Oryzias latipes: one gene and its partners. The protein of the gene in region 1 purifies or fractionates together with the protein of each later gene. This does not show direct contact. Links are inferred from orthologs where the notes say so. Each region holds a gene or a part of one and is shown on either strand. Other genes may lie near its edges.

What was found. Proteins that work in one complex are often made in the same cells at the same time.
Region 2: the proteins of pop7 (region 1) and ibtk purify together in Homo sapiens (affinity purification with mass spectrometry; 3 studies listed by BioGRID and IntAct, with this or other methods). This does not show direct contact. The link is inferred for Oryzias latipes from reciprocal best matches to the Homo sapiens genes POP7 and IBTK.
Region 3: the proteins of pop7 (region 1) and rpp38 purify together in Homo sapiens (co-immunoprecipitation; 3 studies listed by BioGRID and IntAct, with this or other methods). This does not show direct contact. The link is inferred for Oryzias latipes from reciprocal best matches to the Homo sapiens genes POP7 and RPP38.
Region 4: the proteins of pop7 (region 1) and pop1 purify together in Homo sapiens (affinity purification with mass spectrometry; 3 studies listed by BioGRID and IntAct, with this or other methods). This does not show direct contact. The link is inferred for Oryzias latipes from reciprocal best matches to the Homo sapiens genes POP7 and POP1.

Annotation. Positions count from the first base shown.
Region 1 is NC_019876.2:6,185,448-6,189,423, reverse strand, and holds pop7 (ribonuclease P protein subunit p20), read right to left. Parts: upstream 2,631-3,976; 5' UTR 2,475-2,630; intron 1,978-2,474; 5' UTR 1,949-1,977; coding exon 1,499-1,948; 3' UTR 957-1,498; downstream 1-956. Other genes in the region: epo (erythropoietin), read left to right, coding at 1-54. UniProt on the Homo sapiens protein: Component of ribonuclease P, a ribonucleoprotein complex that generates mature tRNA molecules by cleaving their 5'-ends. Also a component of the MRP ribonuclease complex, which cleaves pre-rRNA sequences.
Region 2 is NC_019874.2:4,317,617-4,322,115, reverse strand, and holds the start of ibtk (inhibitor of Bruton tyrosine kinase), read left to right. Parts: upstream 1-1,587; 5' UTR 1,588-1,747; intron 1,748-3,482; 5' UTR 3,483-3,977; coding exon 3,978-4,301; intron 4,302-4,449; coding exon 4,450-4,499. UniProt on the Homo sapiens protein: Acts as an inhibitor of BTK tyrosine kinase activity, thereby playing a role in B-cell development. Down-regulates BTK kinase activity, leading to interference with BTK-mediated calcium mobilization and NF-kappa-B-driven transcription.
Region 3 is NC_019874.2:17,912,743-17,917,545, reverse strand, and holds the start of rpp38 (ribonuclease P protein subunit p38), read left to right. Parts: upstream 1-1,891; 5' UTR 1,892-1,990; intron 1,991-2,836; 5' UTR 2,837-2,843; coding exon 2,844-3,671; 3' UTR 3,672-4,803. Other genes in the region: acbd7 (acyl-CoA-binding domain-containing protein 7), read right to left, coding at 136-209, 540-602, 689-806, 1,452-1,463. UniProt on the Homo sapiens protein: Component of ribonuclease P, a ribonucleoprotein complex that generates mature tRNA molecules by cleaving their 5'-ends. Also a component of the MRP ribonuclease complex, which cleaves pre-rRNA sequences.
Region 4 is NC_019874.2:6,456,987-6,461,689, reverse strand, and holds the start of pop1 (ribonucleases P/MRP protein subunit POP1), read left to right. Parts: upstream 1-1,791; 5' UTR 1,792-2,201; coding exon 2,202-2,331; intron 2,332-2,621; coding exon 2,622-2,720; intron 2,721-3,025; coding exon 3,026-3,201; intron 3,202-3,279; coding exon 3,280-3,540; intron 3,541-3,625; coding exon 3,626-3,713; intron 3,714-4,021; coding exon 4,022-4,200; intron 4,201-4,312; coding exon 4,313-4,587; intron 4,588-4,661; coding exon 4,662-4,703. Other genes in the region: rida (2-iminobutanoate/2-iminopropanoate deaminase), read right to left, coding at 887-992, 1,532-1,596. UniProt on the Homo sapiens protein: Component of ribonuclease P, a ribonucleoprotein complex that generates mature tRNA molecules by cleaving their 5'-ends. Also a component of the MRP ribonuclease complex, which cleaves pre-rRNA sequences.

The sequences.
Region 1 (3,976 bases):
AAAGTGCGCCTTCTTCTTATGGACGCGCCGGCGTGCCAGCAAGATGTCAGCTGATACCTCCCCCCTCCGCCACACATGCACACACAAACACAACACCGTGGAGAAATGTGACACGCTGGTCGCTGTGCGGGGGGAAAAGACCGCAGTCTTGTTGCACAGAGGACGGTCCCCCAGCAAGGCTTTTGGACAGATGGGACCTTGGACTGTAGATGTGACTACACGCCCTGATAAAAAACCATGCGGGGATCACCGCACCAATAGCCGTTCTAACAGGCACTCCCTTGCACTTTGCGTATGGATGTACTTTTGTATGTTAGCAATGAGGCTGGTGGTTTCCGTGGGTTTGACCCCTGCTCTTTCCTTTGTGGAGGTGGATGGTGGAGTGGAACACTTGGAAGATATTGATCGCATCCTGGAAATCGGTGACGTAGCGTAGAAAAAAAGAGAAAAAACAAAGTGGTTTTATCTTCACGTGCCTTTTTCCAGTCTCCACGAAAACATGTAATCTCACAGAAATTGTATTTTTTAAGTGATGTAAAAGTTATTTATACAGTTTTTATATGGTTTAAGACCTTTTTCACATCCTGCTGAACATTTGCACACAAAGATGTTCTCATCAGTCGCTGCTTTTCTAGGAAGATCCTGTGTGTGAGAAAGGCTGAGTCACACCTCACGTGACTCAGCGTTTCAGTCGGTGTGTGAGAGTCCCCCTCGACTGTGAAACTGTTTGTTCAATTTCTGCCGGAAGATCCGTGCAACGAAACATCCTGTGCAGCTTTAATCGCCACTTTCCAGAATCTCGACGCCATGCAATCAGCTGATCCTGGGAACTTATGCTTTGACGTTGAAAAAGGGATTCTCGCAGATGGAACTCGTTGAAGGGTCTTCCTTGTTTTTGTACTTTGCTGCGTAAGTCGGAGACGTTTTCGACGATGTTTTTCCTCTTTTCTTTCCTGTTTAGTTGTACTGTTTTTGTTCCGTCATTGTAAAACTGGCTATTTAAGTGCAAACAAAAACGTATTTTTCTTCCATCATATTTTCAAGACTTGAGGCTTATTTTTTTCTGATCTCGACCCTGACACGTATATTTAAACGTAGGTGTTGTATTTAAAGAACGAAAAATTACTTTGAAGAAAACTGACAACTTGTGATTGGAAAACCTCTGTAGCTAAATACTGACATCTAGTGGACATTCATGGGTATGACAGTCAATTGAAAAGTTATTTTTACGTTTGGTTTTTTATTTTTTCTGAGTACATGCAGGCTTAAAGGTTTTTAAAATAAATAAATGTGGCACATGTTCACAAATACATCGTAAAAGTTTCACTTGATGATTTTATGAAAAGAAAAAAAACAACAACAATGGGAAGTTGAATCTTAGCAGAAACTAAGGTGGCCTGCAGCTCCTTGAACTTCACAATAAAGGTCCCAAAAAGTTATTATCAGCATAAACAGATGGTGGAAGCTGTACAGGGTCTTCATGGTGGGTTTCTAGTCACTAAGGTTCAGGGTAGAAGACTTTAATGTGAATGGCGGAGTTGTTGCGCGTGCGCGTCATGGGCTCCCCGCTCTCATCGGGATCTTCGGGCTCCAGGTCGTCGACGAGCTCCACGGTGGAGGTGTTGGCCGCCAGCTGCAGCGCTCCCTGGCTGCCGGCCTGCAGCTGCAGCGCGATGTTGATGGCTCGGTTGATGGCGAGGCCCAGGCCGTGGACGCAGATCTCCCGGTGGCCCCCTCCGTCCAGGAGCTTCTGGCAGCGCGCCAGCTGGGCTCGGAAATCCGTCTTCATGTTGACGTAGACGTCGTTCCGCCGCTTGGGAAGCTTCCGGGGGAGCCGCTTCCTGAGCGTGTACTCCACCGGGTCCATCTCTGCTGCCGGGGAGCCGGACTCGGAGTGTGGCAGCGGCGTTGGAGCCGAGGACATCCCGGCGTGATGGGCCTCAGTCATGTTTGTTTGTGAGAGTGGAAAACACGCACCTGAAGGGAGCATAAACAATCAAATCATTGAAAATACATTAAATATGCTGCAAATTATCAAACATTTTTGACCAGTTGACAACCTGTGAGGATGACAAACTACATAGATTTATATTATCTTAAACACTAACAAAACATATTTATTGTAGTTATCCACATTATAAAATACACACTGTTTAATAAAAATATAAGCTCATTATAACCCGTTTATTATAGAGTAAATATAACACATTCTACAAGATGCACAGACATAATCGAGCACGCTGACGTTTATTTTCAACAAAACTCTAAAATGTTCAAATGTATCGTTTAATTTACGCAAAAATAACGGTTTTTTTAAAGTTTTAACCGATTATTTAGACTAATAGGAGCGGAGCTGTGTTCATAAATAGCATCCGGCTAACGCCTCGAAGCTAGCCGCCGCGCGCGGAAAAAAACCCCGTTCCCGCCTCACTTTCTGTTCTTCTTTCACACCGTCACGTGATGCAGAAACATACCGTGAGGAGACAGACTTTGGTGAGGCCGCGTCTTTAGTTCCTTTCATATTTTTAAGGCCGCTTCATGCTTTTTGAGTGTGTGTGTGTGTGAAGGCTCCTTCCAGCTAACGGATAGCTTTTCTTCTGGTGGAGCTGCAGCAGGAGCGGTTGGAAAACGGTGAATGGGCGCCACACCGCCACCCGCTGGCGCGGAGTCGCAAGGACACTCAGACGAAAAAAAAAAAAAAAAACCCGAGCGGGAAAAACAACAACCTCATCAAATAAGGAAACGTTGGAACATTTTTTTTCATGCAATTACTCAAAAGAGTTCTGAACTCACATAAGGAATGGGATTAATTTACAACTGAACATTCACCCTTTTAGTATTTCTGATGTACAACTGTTAATGGAAAATCTAGATGATTCTAAAATATCATTATCATTTTACTTTTAGGAAAATACCATATCCACTGTTGCAAGTAGAGAGGTATCAGGCCCTCCTTCCCAGGCTTTATCAACAAATTTAAATTATATTATTCCTCACTAAAAAGATTACAATCCTCGGTAGGTGCTAAAATAATATATAAACAAATGTCCTTGTGGCTGTTATTCTGTCCTGTGCTATCATTTGGCTCCTGTTTTTATTTATTGTTTTGATTTTTTTTCTCTCATTTTAATTTTGTAAGTGTTTCAAAACTGTATATCTATGACATCTGAGAGTATGATATACCCCCCCTCCCTTTGAACCGATGTTGCAGCAATCATCGCTAAATTCGCCCAGGGCTCTCCTCTTTTTTCTCCGCCGTACGAGACCAATGTTTTGCTGATTTTTTTGCTGACTTTTCACAATAGTGTGGAAAGCAAAACACTGTATAATTTTATGTGCATCAGCATCCATTGTATTATTGTCGGTATTCATTGGAGACGTTCTGACCCGGAAAAGGAAGGAAAACAAGTGTTGTTTTCCTTCCTTTTCAGAACATCTGTCATGGTTTGGGTTTCTTTTGTCTTGGTTTTTGCTTTATTTCTTGTTCTGTCATGTTTGGTTCTGTTTCCTGTTTCACTTTGAAAGGTGTTCTGTTTGGTCATGTTCCTGAGTTTTACTTCCTTGTCCCTATCTGTCCTGATCTTGTTCACCTGTGTCTTGTCTGCCCTGTCTGTATTTAAGTCTTGTCTCTCCCTTCCTCTTGTGCTGGTCCATTAACGTCACTAACGTTGTAACGTCTCTTCCATGTAAGTCTTCTGCCATGTTTCATGCCACGCCACAGTAAGTTTAGGTTTGTGTGGTTATCCTGCTCTGCAGCGCCTTTTGTTTGCAATTAAACCCTCTTGTCTTGGAACCGTGTGCCTCGTGCCTCTGGGTCCTACCTGCTCTCCTGCCCCCCATATCCTGACAACATCTACGTTTGGTAGTTTTTTAAATGCAAAAATCGGATACGGGTCACTTTTAAAAGATGATGTAAGCGGGCTGTCAGAAAAAATCGGACATAGTCAGAAAATCGTATCTGGGCATTAAGACCTGC
Region 2 (4,499 bases), on another chromosome or scaffold:
CTAATGCACAGAACAGAAAGGTAAAAGGACAGCTGGTTGTGGACCCTGCTAATAGAATGGAGATGCTAGGGTCGGGTGAAGGCAGTTTTTCCAGAAACAAGTTGAACATCGGGTGACATACAGAGTGGAGGGTTGAGCACACAAGTCCATTTTGTTTTGTGAGGAATAAACTAAAGGATCTCTGAGAGAGAGAGAGAGAGAGAGAGAGAGAGACAGACAGACAGACAGACAGAATGGCTGAAGAATGAAGGAACGTGTTCAATTCAATTCAATTTTATTTATATAGCCCAATTTCACAACAACAGTCGTCTCAATGGGCTTTGTACCGGTAATTGTAAGGTAAACATACAATCAAAAAAGGAACATAAATGGTTCTGGTTTCATTCTTAAGAAGTCTGGAGGTGTAGAGTCATGGCATATAGAGTGTCAGACGAGTGAGGGTGAGGCCACAGAACTACAAAAAATGAGGGATCTGCGAGGGATATTACCATTTGCTCAGAGACAGCAGAAGGCTTTCTTATTGAGATGTTTTAAAGCATAATTTAAAACCAAGACAACAAAAAACAAAACAAAGATGACATAAAACAAAACGTTTAAGGCCAACGCAGCAGGAATATAGATGAGAAAGGTGAACGGATGATGGTTTTCCATGTGGCGCTTATAGTCCAAGTCCCCTTTGCCTTTTGACCCAGCAAAAAGTCCCTTAGATGGGCAGACTGACAGGTGAGGTCAGACAGGAATCTCTTCGGACCATGATGCTTGCAGATGACACCGTGATCTGCAGTGAGCAGGTGGAAGAACATCTAGAGAGTTGGAGGTTTGCTCTGGACAAAAGAAGAATGAAGATCAGATGCAGGAATGGTGAGGTTACAGAGGAAAGAGGTGAACAAGGAGGAGCACTTTAAAGACTTAGGGTCAACTATCTACAACAGCCGAGAGTGTGTGAAAGAGTGTGTGTGCAAGCAGGTTGGAATGGGTGGAGGAAGGATTTGTGTGTGATGTAACAAAAGAGTGTCATCAAGAATGAAAGGAAAGGTGCAGAAGACTGCGGTGAGAGCAGTCATGTTGGTAGAGACACTAAAACAGAGACAGGAGGCAGCTGAAATGAAGAAGCTGAAGTTATCTTTGAGAGTGCCTACCATGACAAAGGTGGATAAAGGTGGAAAGATTTCATGTAATCCATGGACACCAGTGAAGATCACAAATCATTGAAGAAAAAAGGTTCAGAGCACTGTCTAGTCTAGTGGGTCTAGATGACCCAACTCCCAATGTTAAAGTGCCTAGGATAGCACAAGGGTTAAATGACCAGCCAAGAACGTTAATGACAACAGTTTTAACCCCTTTTGCTGTGAATAAAAAGAAACTTAAAAAATATTATATACTCTACTGTACACTTAAAATAATAATAACATACATCTATATTATATATCTATATCTATATAGATATATAAAGAATGCTGCTCTCTGCTCACTCCCACCCCAGTGACAGAAACAAACGGACCCACTCTCAAATCACGTAACGTCCTATGACGATTAACCAATAGAATTCCAGTATACAGGGCACTCTGACCAATCAGAAGTCTCGATGGAAACTAGTGTGTTTACCTAACCTGCAGTGTTATATTCAGGCCAAAATCGGCACAAGCAACGCAGTGGCTGAAGTTTCTGTATTGTAGTCATGTCACAGCGTATGTCCACCGCTAATGCATCCTCCTCTTTAAGCTCATTTCTCTACATCTAGCGAGAGGTAAGCGGACAAGAACAACAAGACATTTATTCCTCTGACGAGAGGAGATGCTAGCTCCGAGCTCTCACTGTCTGGGAAGCTATGATGATCCGGTTCTCTTATGTATATATATGCATAAACGAATGTAACTAGCAGAGCCACAAACACGGCCGTTAAAAAATGTTTTTAAACAACACGTTAGGATTTTCCCTCCGTTTTGCATACATACATTGTCTAAAATGACATGACGCAGCTTTGGCTGGAGGAGGATCTAGTCTGTTAGCTAACGTTAGCTTGACTGGAACTTCTAGGAACACGATCAAAGAAATTGATTTTATTGAGTATTTAAAAGTTCAAAATATTTAAGCTTATGCTGTAGGCTATAATACCAATCATATGTGACATCGCCAGAACATTACATAACACTCAGCCTTAGTGCGTCGTTGGCTCTTTCCCCCTAAGGGCTACCAGATGTCAACCAACCAATGTGGAAACAGGAGGATGTTTGTGTCGAAAGGTAGAGCAGTCAATCTTTGGAAAACTAAAACACCCAACATTTTTAGTGGAATAAAATACATGTCAGCATAAAAAGTTTATTTACTCTTCTGTTTAGGTGGACAGCATAAAGGGCAGTGAGCTTAATCTACGAGTGTGAAGTTTGACAAAAACCTACATTGTAGAATAAAATAAAACTTTATTAATCCCACAATAAATTAACTTGTTACCATAGTTATATTAAATCAGCAGATGGAAAAAACAAAACAACTCTCAAAATACACATAGAAATGAATAGCAAACGTTTTTGTCCAGTGTCTGTGAGGCACTGTAGACTGAAGGGGCTCCTAAGTGCACCCATGGTTTTATGCAAAGCTTGATGATAAAGAGATTATGGATCCGGTTTCCATAACATCCTCCACTCGCCCACTACAGTCAGAGACTAGGGTACATCCCAGGATGGAGCCAGATCTCTGCACCAGTTTGTCCATCCTCTTCCCGTTCTTGTCATCTGCCCTCCTCCAAGAGGCTCACTCTGTAGAAGAGTGCGGATGCAACAATACAATCATAAAAAACTCATTAAGGGTCCTGCAAACTCTGAGGGACCACAGTCTCCTTAGCCTCTCCTGCAATTCCTGGTTGCTCCTTCTGCTGTATATTAATTGTTGCCAAGCAACAACAGCTGGTGGTGTAAACGAAGCACCCACAGTCCACGTCAGATCCAGATGTTTTGGGGAATAGTCCAAAGAGGAGTAGCAGGCATGCCACCGTATCAAAAAAAAGATTAATAAGAAGATAAAACAATACAAAAAACCCTACAAAAACAAGTAAGCAAACACGGAGGTATTGTAACTGACGGCCTACCACGATATCAGAAAAAACAAAACAAAGAAAAACCCGTTTTAACCCCACTATTTCATTTACCAGCCATTTTCCCACATTTTGAATAAAGTCTGGGGTTTATTGCATCTACATCACTTCAAAATAAAGTCTTGAAACTGCAAGACATCAATAACTTTATACGACAAGGAACACGGGATGAAAGTTTGGCTGAAATTCTCAATTATTTAATCAAGACTTGTTTTGTGTCCTTTGTAAACTTTAGCAGGTGCTCATGTGCTCCTCTTAAAATATGTTGGATTGTAATATATCTCTGTAGACTCATGAAACGACTTGATATGATTTGACTTTAAGGTGTACAATTGTTGATTTTATTGCGTTTAATATCAATAACATTTGTGAAAACGTTTTTCCTCCTCAGGTGAACTCTACAATTATGGCGTTTTAAAACAGAAAGGGATCCTTTGGGGGGAAGGAGGCCTTTCCCCTCAGGTTTGGTGGACTGTTGGATCAGAAGGACTACTGGTTGTTGAAGTTGTTGCATTTTGTAAATGATTAGGTGAAAATACTATTTTTGCAAGTTCTGAGATAGAAATTTTTGTATAAAACACATGAAATTTTGTATTTATTGAATTTAGGATGTCATTATATGCTGCAAGCAGCATTGTTTATTTTCAAACCTCGGTCAATATGGTGGACTGAGTCAAGTCCAGCTAAGGCCCTGGGGTTGCTAGGGTGCAGTGGAACCTCAACACAGGCACGATTCTAGCACTCCAGATCATCTCGACTTCTTCTGTTCCTAAACCTCACACCACACGTTTTCGGTGGGGGTTGGAACTGGGGCTGGTGGATTTGTCTGAAGGACTTTGTAACAGAAGGAAAGCGGTTTCACAATAAAAATTAGTTGGAGGCCAGGATGAGTCTGGCACCAGCAGACTGCACCCCCAAATGCCGGTCCCAACAGCACGCAGACCAGGTCATAGCTGCCTTAACTGGGGGGTCCGAGAGGCAACTCAAGGCGTTTCTGACTTCATATTGTCACAATGCAACCACCCTGCGCGACGCGTTTGGCCGCACGGCCCTTCACCTCGCGGCCTCGCTGGGAAAGAAAGCGGTGCTGGAGTGGCTGCTGGAGAGCAAGGGGGCAGACCTTATGGTAAAGGATAAGGAATCTGGCTGGACTGCTCTGCATCGCAGCGCTTTCTATGGACAGATTCACTGCCTCACATCACTCATCAAGGTATAGTTCATCTAAAAAGCTGTGCTATTCAGTTTTGTTTAGAGATGCTCTTTTTTCTTCTCTAACAATAAATATAATGACCAAAACATTGTTGCTTTATTGTCACAAGTGGAAAAAATGATGAAATATTGTTTTGCTTTGGTTTTAGCATGGTGGACTTCTTTCCACCCAGGATAAGGAAGGTTTCTCTGTCCTGGA
Region 3 (4,803 bases), on another chromosome or scaffold:
TATCTTTATTATTCAAACAAACATTGCCATATCTTGTTAGAGATTAAGTAATTTTCTTTCGCTAGGGAAAAAAAACATTTTTTGTTTTTAATGAGTTGAACATTATTCCAAATACTTGGAGGGTTTTTGCAAGTCTTACATGCCATATTTGCTGATGATTTCCTTAGCATTTGTAATGTAGGTTGACATGGCATCATCCTTGGACATTCCTGAAAAATTGTGTAAACAATGGAAAAAGCATCAGTGATAGCATACCATTGAAACAGACATTAAAATCCCCACTGGTATAAAAAGGGTTACCTTTTTTTTATAAAAATCAAAACTTAAGATATTTTTTTAACCGTAAATCAAAATGAAATATGGAGAAATTGCAGTTGAAGAGAATTGGGATGTGACATTTGTGATTTACAAATGATGGATTTGTTTAGCAGATTGCTTAGGATAACCTACATCCATTTTTACCCATACTTTGTCAATACTTTATTTCACAGATTTCAGTCAATAAAGCAAACCTGTCATTTTACAAACATTATTATTACCTTTTCTTGAATTCCAAGATTCCCACTTTGCCCTTCCTGTGGCATCTAGCGCTCCTGGTTTGTCTGATGTTGAGAAACACCAAAGAGGAGGGTTGCTTTAAATTCTGCATGCAATGAAGTTAATGCAAAAAAGTGCATTGATCCCTTACCTATGTTAATGTCTCCAACAAGGGATTGCTTATAAAGACCATATAGGGTCAACAATTCGTCGTTTGAAGGCCTAGTCTTTACCTTCTTCACATCCTCTGCCACCGTCTTAAAATCTGCCTTTAAATGAATAGAAGATCGGCTATAAAACAGTATGTGAACTTAATAGTTAAAATATAGGCAACTTTTAATATAAGAAACGAGGTTTTGTAAAAATGTGCATATTAATAAGTTGCAGGCAACACCAAATCAAAAATGTGGGCATAGTGTTTCAGCCAGGGCGCAAAGCCTGGGAAACCAAAGTTTTGGGGAAACAATGGGCTTTTATTTCAGACTCTGGGGCTTTTGTGGCTGTCTGAATAATCTGCTTTACACAGGATGTAAGGCATTGCTGCGCAGATCATTATGCACACTTAAGACAGATCTAAACCCGAAAACCATGTGCTGTACAGAGGTCATTCTTTAAGTTATGACTTACATCCACCTCAACCAAGAGTTTAAATCATCTATTTACATTTTGACATTGAAGCATTTTCGTTGTACACAAACTCTGATATATTCCTGTCAAAGGGTCCAGCATCAGGACCACAGACGGTAAAACATCCTGCTTCTTTCATATCTCGGTCAAAGATGCACGGGGCAACGACCATTACAATGTCATTAGAACATTAACGCTACTATGTGGAATGAAAGTAAAGCTCAACGTGATAAAAAAAAAAGCAAAAAATAAATAAAGAGAAAGAAAAGATAAAGAATAGCAGTTACCTCGAGCGACATCTTTTTGAATCAAAGCAGCAAAAGACCACAGTTGAACGTCGACGGTCTGCACGGTTATGCGCAGCTGTAATTGCAACACAGCTGATCAGTGCAAGATTTGACAACCAATCAGGAGCCTGAGGAGGAGGGACCATGTTTGATCTCAGACGCTGATTAGTTGTCTGTCAACTTCAATGACTTCAGGACAAAAAAATCAGAAACATTAATAGTTGATCTTTTTATGCTTATCCTTCGTGTAATTCCCATTTATCATCATGAAAACAACAAATGTTTTTTTTTCACTGATCGTCGTAAATGTCCAGATAATTCTGTTTGTTTGTCTCCTTTAACTTACATCGTTTTCAGAGAAAATGTCATTAAATGAACGTCGCGTGTCCTTTTCACAAGCCAACATTAGGCGGCGCTGAAGTAAATGAAACTAATAGTTTTTAAATAAAGGTTTCGAATTCAAACAGCATGGCGGCGCCTCAGTTTAACAAGGTAGAGGGAAACGTTTGATGAAACACTCTTTTAGCTTCAAAAGTCACGTAAGTTTTAATGATTTGGTCCATTAGTTTGTCGTCAATGCTTCTCATTTACTGATAAAATGAATGTAAACTGAGCTAAACCTGTCAGAAGGGGAGTTCTTTTAGTTTTAACAGTCGTGCCTTGGGTGGGTCGCGTGCTCCAGATTTTATGCTGTGAACAGTGAAAACTTCTAACATTTTGAGTAAATAAGTCTGATCTCCTGCTAATGTGTTTGGGAGTTGAAAATGCTCCCATTTCTTTCTGTTTACTTCACAAAAAAACTAGAAAAAAATAAATAAGTGATGGAAAACTGTTTAGCTTTTCAATAGTTTGACCATTTTAAATGTCAAGTCCCCTTCTGAGTCTGTGGAGGCCAGGAAAACCTTTTATTAGGATGGCTTGTGTGATTATTAAAATGGCATGACAAACTTCTGTTCAGCCAATTATGTGCTGTGGGGTTAGTGTAGATCATTATTTGGAGAGTTATCACTAAACTAAGTTAGACAACTTTAGAACTGGTCATCAACTTGGTAAACTTTTTGTTTTTTCCAACCACAGGACTAAAGTAAAGATTTTGATCTCATTATGCGAGTTTGTGGTAAAGATTTATTTGTTGATTGAAGACTGAAACTAGCCATTGTTTGGGGTTTGTTCTGCCCGGTGATATAAACTTATGGAAATTAATTTGATACCTGATGATCAAATTTGGGTTTGTTTGATATAGAAAAGGAAAAGGGAAGTGCGGATTCTACTTTAGACCTTTCTTAATTTTGTTTTAATGACAGTACTTTGGAAAAGTTATTTAGCAGAAAACGCTTAGGTTTTTAAATCTAACGTTTCTGGAAAACTTTAAAATCTGATTTCAGACAAGCCATGGCGACTTCTGTAAAGCCAGCCACTAAGAAAAAGCGAATCCAAGCAAAGACCTCCTTCAACTCACCCTTCACCTCACAGTGGAGCCAACTTCCCCAAGAAGATATGCATTTTATCCTGAAAACGTTAACGGACAAAATGATTTCAACAGGTCTGGAGAAAAAAGAGGTGAAAGTGTTTCGATCATGGGGGAAAAGGAAGGAAGAGAAACCTCCTTCAACAGCTGAATCTTTGAGCCAGGAGACTCAGGGGGGTGAGCTCTCCACAAACGGCTGGACGGATGTTGCAGCAAGACGGCAGCTGGCCATCGGCATCAACGAGGTCACTAAAGCTCTGGAGAAGAATGAGCTCCACCTGCTGCTCGTGTGCAAATCTGCCAGACCAAACCACATGACTAATCACCTGATCGCTTTGAGTGCTACACGAGCTGTGCCGGCCTGTCAGGTGCCACGCCTGAGCCAGAGTCTGTCAGAGCCACTGGGCCTGAAAAGTGTCCTCGCACTGGGATTCAGGCGATGCTCCTCTATAGACCAAGAGATGTTCACTGACACTATTGATGCAATCAAACCAAGAGTTCCTCCGCTGGATGTTGCATGGTTACAAGAGGCAGCGCCTAAAGTCCCACCTGAAGTTCTTGTTGGCATGGAAGAGGAGGAGGAGGAGGAGGAGGAGAAGATGGAAAGAGGTCAAAAAAGAAAACTAGAGGTGGAATCTGAGATTCCGGAGGTTCCCTCTTCCTGCACACTGCAGCCTCTTAAAGTGAAGAGAATTGTTGCAAACCCTTCAAAGAAAAGAAAAACCAAACCCGAGAAAAAATCTGTCAAATAAAACAGACACTGGAAAATAGAGGAAAACCCCCTTTTTTTTCAGATAGTTTTGGATTCCTGTTTTGTTTTTATTTTCATTTTTAGTTTCTAAAGTGTTAAATTCAAAGAGTAACCACAGCGAAGTTTCATCATAGACAGGACAGTTTTAATTACTGAATCCAGCTCACTGTTTAGTTTTTGCGGACAGTTTTATTTCCTTCATTGAACGAACACACTTGTTAGTATAATTCACTCATATTGTCTATGAACCAGAATGCTGTTAATAATATATATTTATAACACATGGGTCAAATATAAATGCTTTTGTTTGTTGCATAGAAAGGATATAAATAACAAAAAAACAAGGAGTTGATGATAAGGAGTAGTATTTTATAAATGTACTTTTAATACTGTTTTTATCGCTTTCAAGGTAAAATACTGAAAAATCTAAAATGCTGGGAAAAACAATACAGTAGTAGCTTCATTTGGAAATTTTACTTTACAAAAGAAGTCTACAGTGCAGTTATTTAAATTTGTGAAAGGTGGGGAAAACCTAACATGTATTATAGATGCACATTATTTACACTCTGAAAAGTAATGTGATTAAAAAAATGCTTTTCATTTTAATTCAAGACTCGCCTAATACTGCCACGAACAATATCCCTTTATTACTTCTACATTATAATCATAAAAGTATTAATTGATGTTCTATCAAACTAGCACAATCTGGGATTAGCAGACCAATTAAAGATGCGTAATTTCTTCCTAAAGCAAAATCTTCACTTTTAACTGTCATCCTAACTGAATTTCCTCATTTCAAGTTGATCATACTTATAAAAAAAAATACTATTAGCATCTTTTTTACAGTTTGAAAGCAAATGTCAATGGTTTGCCTTGAAATGCAAAAGAAATGATGCAAAGATTACTCACATTCTCCTTTCAAATGAGTTTATTCAACCAGATTATCAGGTATCCATGCTGGTATAGCGGATGTGTTGAAATGGATTGTTTTGCATGGGTTCACGTTTGAATGAGGCTGGTACGAGTTCTTCAGTTTTAATCACAGCTTATAAGGGCTTTTAATAAAAATACTGTTGTTCAGTTAAGATGTCTGTCAGATCAAAAACTCGCTCCTTCATCCCAGCTGCAAAAGA
Region 4 (4,703 bases), on another chromosome or scaffold:
AAAAGGGGAAGAATTATCAATGGATACCACCACACATCACAGTAGAACTAGAACCTGCATCTCTCTCTCCACCATGAAAAAAAAAAAACCTTCTGCATTTGCTTCACCTTGTGGTGAGAAGTCAACATGTTTTCTTTTCCCTGCATTTGTGATCATTGCAACTTGAAAGAAAATACTCAATTCATGATTCTCAAGTTCCTTGATCTGTAGCTCAACAAAAAAAAATCTGCACCTTAGTTACACTTTAGAGTCCCACTCTGATCATCTTTTGATCCGTTTTCAAAGCGTTCCCGGTGTTCTTTTAATTATGATTATGCCAAGTTTAGCCAAAACCAGGAATCCTGGGTCGTTTTCCAGGACATAATTTCTGCAGAGCGACAGTAGTACAGTAGTCGTGAAAGCCTGCCCCCTTTCCATCATCTGTTTACCCCGTCTTCCACTAGCTTACGTTCCCTCGTATCCCCAACCTAACATTGGCGGTGCAACAAAAATGGCGAGCAATATCGGAGCCGTGGAGATTCCAGCTCAGACGAGAAAAATGAGGACACACACGTGTCTATTTGTCTACAAGTGGATGCATCAGAATGGAGAGGGGCAGGGAGCTAGTGGCCCACTGGGGTAACTTGTCAGCCACACTTACAAGCTTTTTCCAGCTGCATTTTTGCATCTGCTCCTGATTTACAACAATTGGAAGAAATACCCAGACATGCTATTATAAGCTTAATTTCTTTATATGTCCTTAATTATCAGAAAAAGGTCACAAGAACATGTTAAAAACACCAAAAAAACTCATTTTCGTAAAGGTGGGTCTTTAGCTTGTTCACAATCCACCTTTGTAGTTTGAGAAGGAAAGCTACAAATGTTTTAAGAGAAGCCGTGTGGTCACCTGTCTGGTTTGTGCTTGAACGCCTCCTTCCACCAGCTGTGTGGTGGCGGGATCCATCCCCAGCTGTCCTGATATGAACATGGTCCGATCAACCAGCACCGCCTGGCTGGAAGACAACAGCACCACAGTATCAGCCTATTTCAAAAAGATTTCATGGAAAAATAAAAAATCATGTCTACAGCTGCAATGTAGGTTTTATGATTAAATTCATTTTATAAGCTAACTTTTACTTTGAAAGCTTTTTTTTTGTGAGGAAAAAAAACAAAAAAAGCTTCAGGTTAATAGTTTTTAGAGACCAGACAAAAGTTTACTCTAAAGTCAAAAATAATTTGAGTTGGTCAAAGAAATAAATCAAAAGGAAAATGGAAGGGGGGGCGGGGGGGGGCGGACACACGGTATGATTATGTTAAGGCTGCATTTAGATTAATTTAAGATTAGGCAAATTTCATTTGATTTTTATTATTCGTTTTTATTTGTAATTATATTAAATATTAGAACTCAAATAAAAGTTTCTTAAAGAAATATGGTTAACAGCAGCTAAACTTTTCCACAGTGGTGCGGTGTAAAGTCCACAGTGAAGAAGCGTGCACTTGTTTGTTTGGTGTAGTGTCCGTCCAGAGACGGTCGGATTCGTACTCCGCTCACCTGTATGGACCGATGGCAGCAGGAGCTTTAGTCGTGCTGATGATCTTCTTGATTAACGCAGACATGTTTCTGAACTCATGCAGGGTGAAAGCAGGCGTGTGAAGGCGAAAACACGAAGGGAAACTAATTTATAAATAAAGATTGGGAAAAAAACGACGGAGAACAGTTGGATCCGCCTTACCGTAAATGACAACTAACAGTCGCAAAATGTACCTGACTTTTTAAAGAAAGTTATTTTGTCTTAATTTTTTTTACAGTAAAATTATATATTTATAGTGAAGCAAGAAAAAAACAACGCTATCCTAAAAGATAAATTGCTATGTCGACGTGTTTTCTCCTGACTCGCTAGTCTTTTCGGCAACTGAACTACAAATTCCAAGAGTACCACGAACCCGGAAGCAAATCGACGTAAGCTGACATTAATTAAACCCATGTGGTTGTTAGCTGTAGCGACAACATTGAACTGCATCCGACTTAATTTTGTGATAGACATTTTTGATTTACCTCTTTTTTATACATAAGTTACGTTTGAATCAGTCTGCTAGATCCAAGTTTGGGAGAAAAAACTTCAGATTCAGTGTGAGCTAACGTAGCTAGCTGGCTTATTATTTGGACTTTTTCGGGATTTCTTCTTTTTATTTATGTTTTGTGGCGGTTAAGACTAGAGAAAATGTCTGCTTCCAAGGTGAAGATGAGGGACAGGAAGATGAAGAACCAGCCTGCCAGCGTGCAGTATTCGTCTCCTTCCGCCGCGGCGGGTAGCAGCAGCCAGAACGGACGACAAGAAGCGAAGGACTCCGGTATTGACACGGCCCACTGTCACGAGTGGGGACTGCCGCTGCGTGGTCAGCACATGGTGGCGGCAGGCCACTCAGCCCTGCATTCACTGTGTGCTTTTCCCCTTAGCCTTTTATATGATTGACATTTAGGTGGCATGATGATGCTGGTCAGAAAGACACAACATCAGTGTTGTCTTGTATATTCTGCATTAAAATTCTCTAAATGTCCTGACCACACATGTCTGACGCCTCATTAAAGGAAACAGTGGTTTGAAAAGCAAAACGCTGTTTGTTCTGATCTTTTCTGCTAGGATGGCAGAGGAACCCTCCTCCCAGGACTGGATGGGTTCGTGGAAATCAGAGAGATGGAGGAGGAGGTTACATGAAGGAGATGCCCAAATACATCACCGGTGAGGAGACGCTTCACTCCTGCAAACACAGGCAAAAGTTGTTTATGTCACGAACTTCATTTATGAGCAGAATCCCTTCATATGCACAACATCAACCACATTTCCCATGACATTTGGGAAATTATTTGACAAAGGCGATGGCAGCTTTCTTTTTTTTTCCCTTTACCATTTGATGCCTTTTCTTTAAACACTTTCTTGTTAATTCCTAAAAACAATTAAAATGCTGGGAAACCTTATAAATGGTCTGTCAGAGCCCCTTTTTCCTACAGTTTCCTAAAAGTCCTTCTATTGTTCTCCTCACCAAGCTGGAGCGTTTGCCAGGAGCAGGGCTGCAGAGGTGAAGGCCATGCTGAAAGCAGTGACCAAGAGAACGGGCAGCAACCATGTCTTCCAGGCTCTGCCCAAACACATGAGGAGACGCGCCATGAGCCACAACACCAAGAGGCTTCCCCGCAGGCTGAGAGATGTGGCGAGCAAAATGGTAATTTCTGCAAATGCTCTCAGCTGCTTTAGTGATTCATCCATGCTCCGTGTGCGCTCACATACGCTCCTCCATCAGCGGGAAAAGAGCCTCCAGGCCGGCTCGAAGAAGAAGAAGGAGCTACCAAAGAGTAAAAGCCGCAAAGCTCGCCGGCGCCACGGCAACCTGTTGCTGGAGTTCAATCGCCGCCAGCGCAAGAACATTTGGTTAGAGACGCACATTTGGCACGCCAAGCGTTTCCACATGGTAAAGAAGTGGGGTTACCGTCTCGGGGACAGACCAACGTGCAAGTGCTACCGGCCGTGCTATAGAGCAATGAGCAGCCACTGCCTGCTGCTGGTAAAACACTCTGTTTTTATTTATATGAAAACATCCAGGAGATAGATAAACTGCTTTTTTTTAGTTATTTTTTTCATCTATGCAGGACATTTCTTATTACTGCTGCATTGAGCTGCAGGGAGAGGAGGACACGCTGTTGACTGCTCTGTCACAGCTGACCAGCAAGGAGACGGGTGAGGGCTGTTACTACTTTCTTTTTACCACGTTAAAAAAAAAAAACACAGGCTGCCTTTTTTGACTTTCTGAGACTAATTTAAAGATCCACCCTGATGAAAAGGTGCTTTTGGTGTTTTTAACTTGTTCTTGTGGCATTTTTGTGATGGTTCAGGAAATGTATAAAGAAAATTTGGATTGAAAGTGCATTTCAGCACAATCATGATCAAAAGACCACTGGGAACACTTGAAAATAGATCGTAAGATGATCAAAGTGGGACTTTAAGTACGGTAATAAAACTCTGAATTGTGGTTGACATTTTTCCAGGCCCTACCTTTGCTGCAGCTCTGTGCCTGTCTGGGTGCAGACAGGGCAGCGTTACGGTGTACAGAGCGGGGCAGTACCCCTCACACCCTCTGGGCCCCGTCACATTTCTTTGGAGACCTCGAGCAGAAGGCTCAGCCAGCAGGCAGCTGTGGATCTGGGCGCATCCCGCTCTGAAGCAGGTAAACGGCTGCTTTTAAATCCTCACAGGGGGGTTTGGGTTGTTGGTACACCAGTCAGTGTCGAGTCAGTCACAGCAAGCTGGTTGATTTCAGCTGATGTGTTCCTCTTCAGGATCTTCTCCCAGAGTTGCAAAGAGTGTGTGAGTGCTTTGAGGCGGTGGTGCCCCCGGTTATCCCAGTGGCCACACCTGCAGAGTCTGCTTCCACCCTGGAGTCTGAGCCAAAGCCTGAGGTCTCCCCTAAAGCCAAGGTGACACCTGGAGGAAAGAGGAAACGGAGCCGTGTGGACGCAGGTGGACCTCCTGCTAAGAAGATCTTGGGAGACGGAACCAGATCACCCGACACTCCAGTCACCTGGAAGTCCAGCTCAACTGGAATCGTAATAAAGTCAGTGAATGAACTGAGCAACTGTTTGGAGGAGGTGATTCTGTTTCATTCACGTATCTGGTCATCTGTCGTAGCGATCTCACGATGGAGATGGTACGCTACCGCCTGGTCGGACC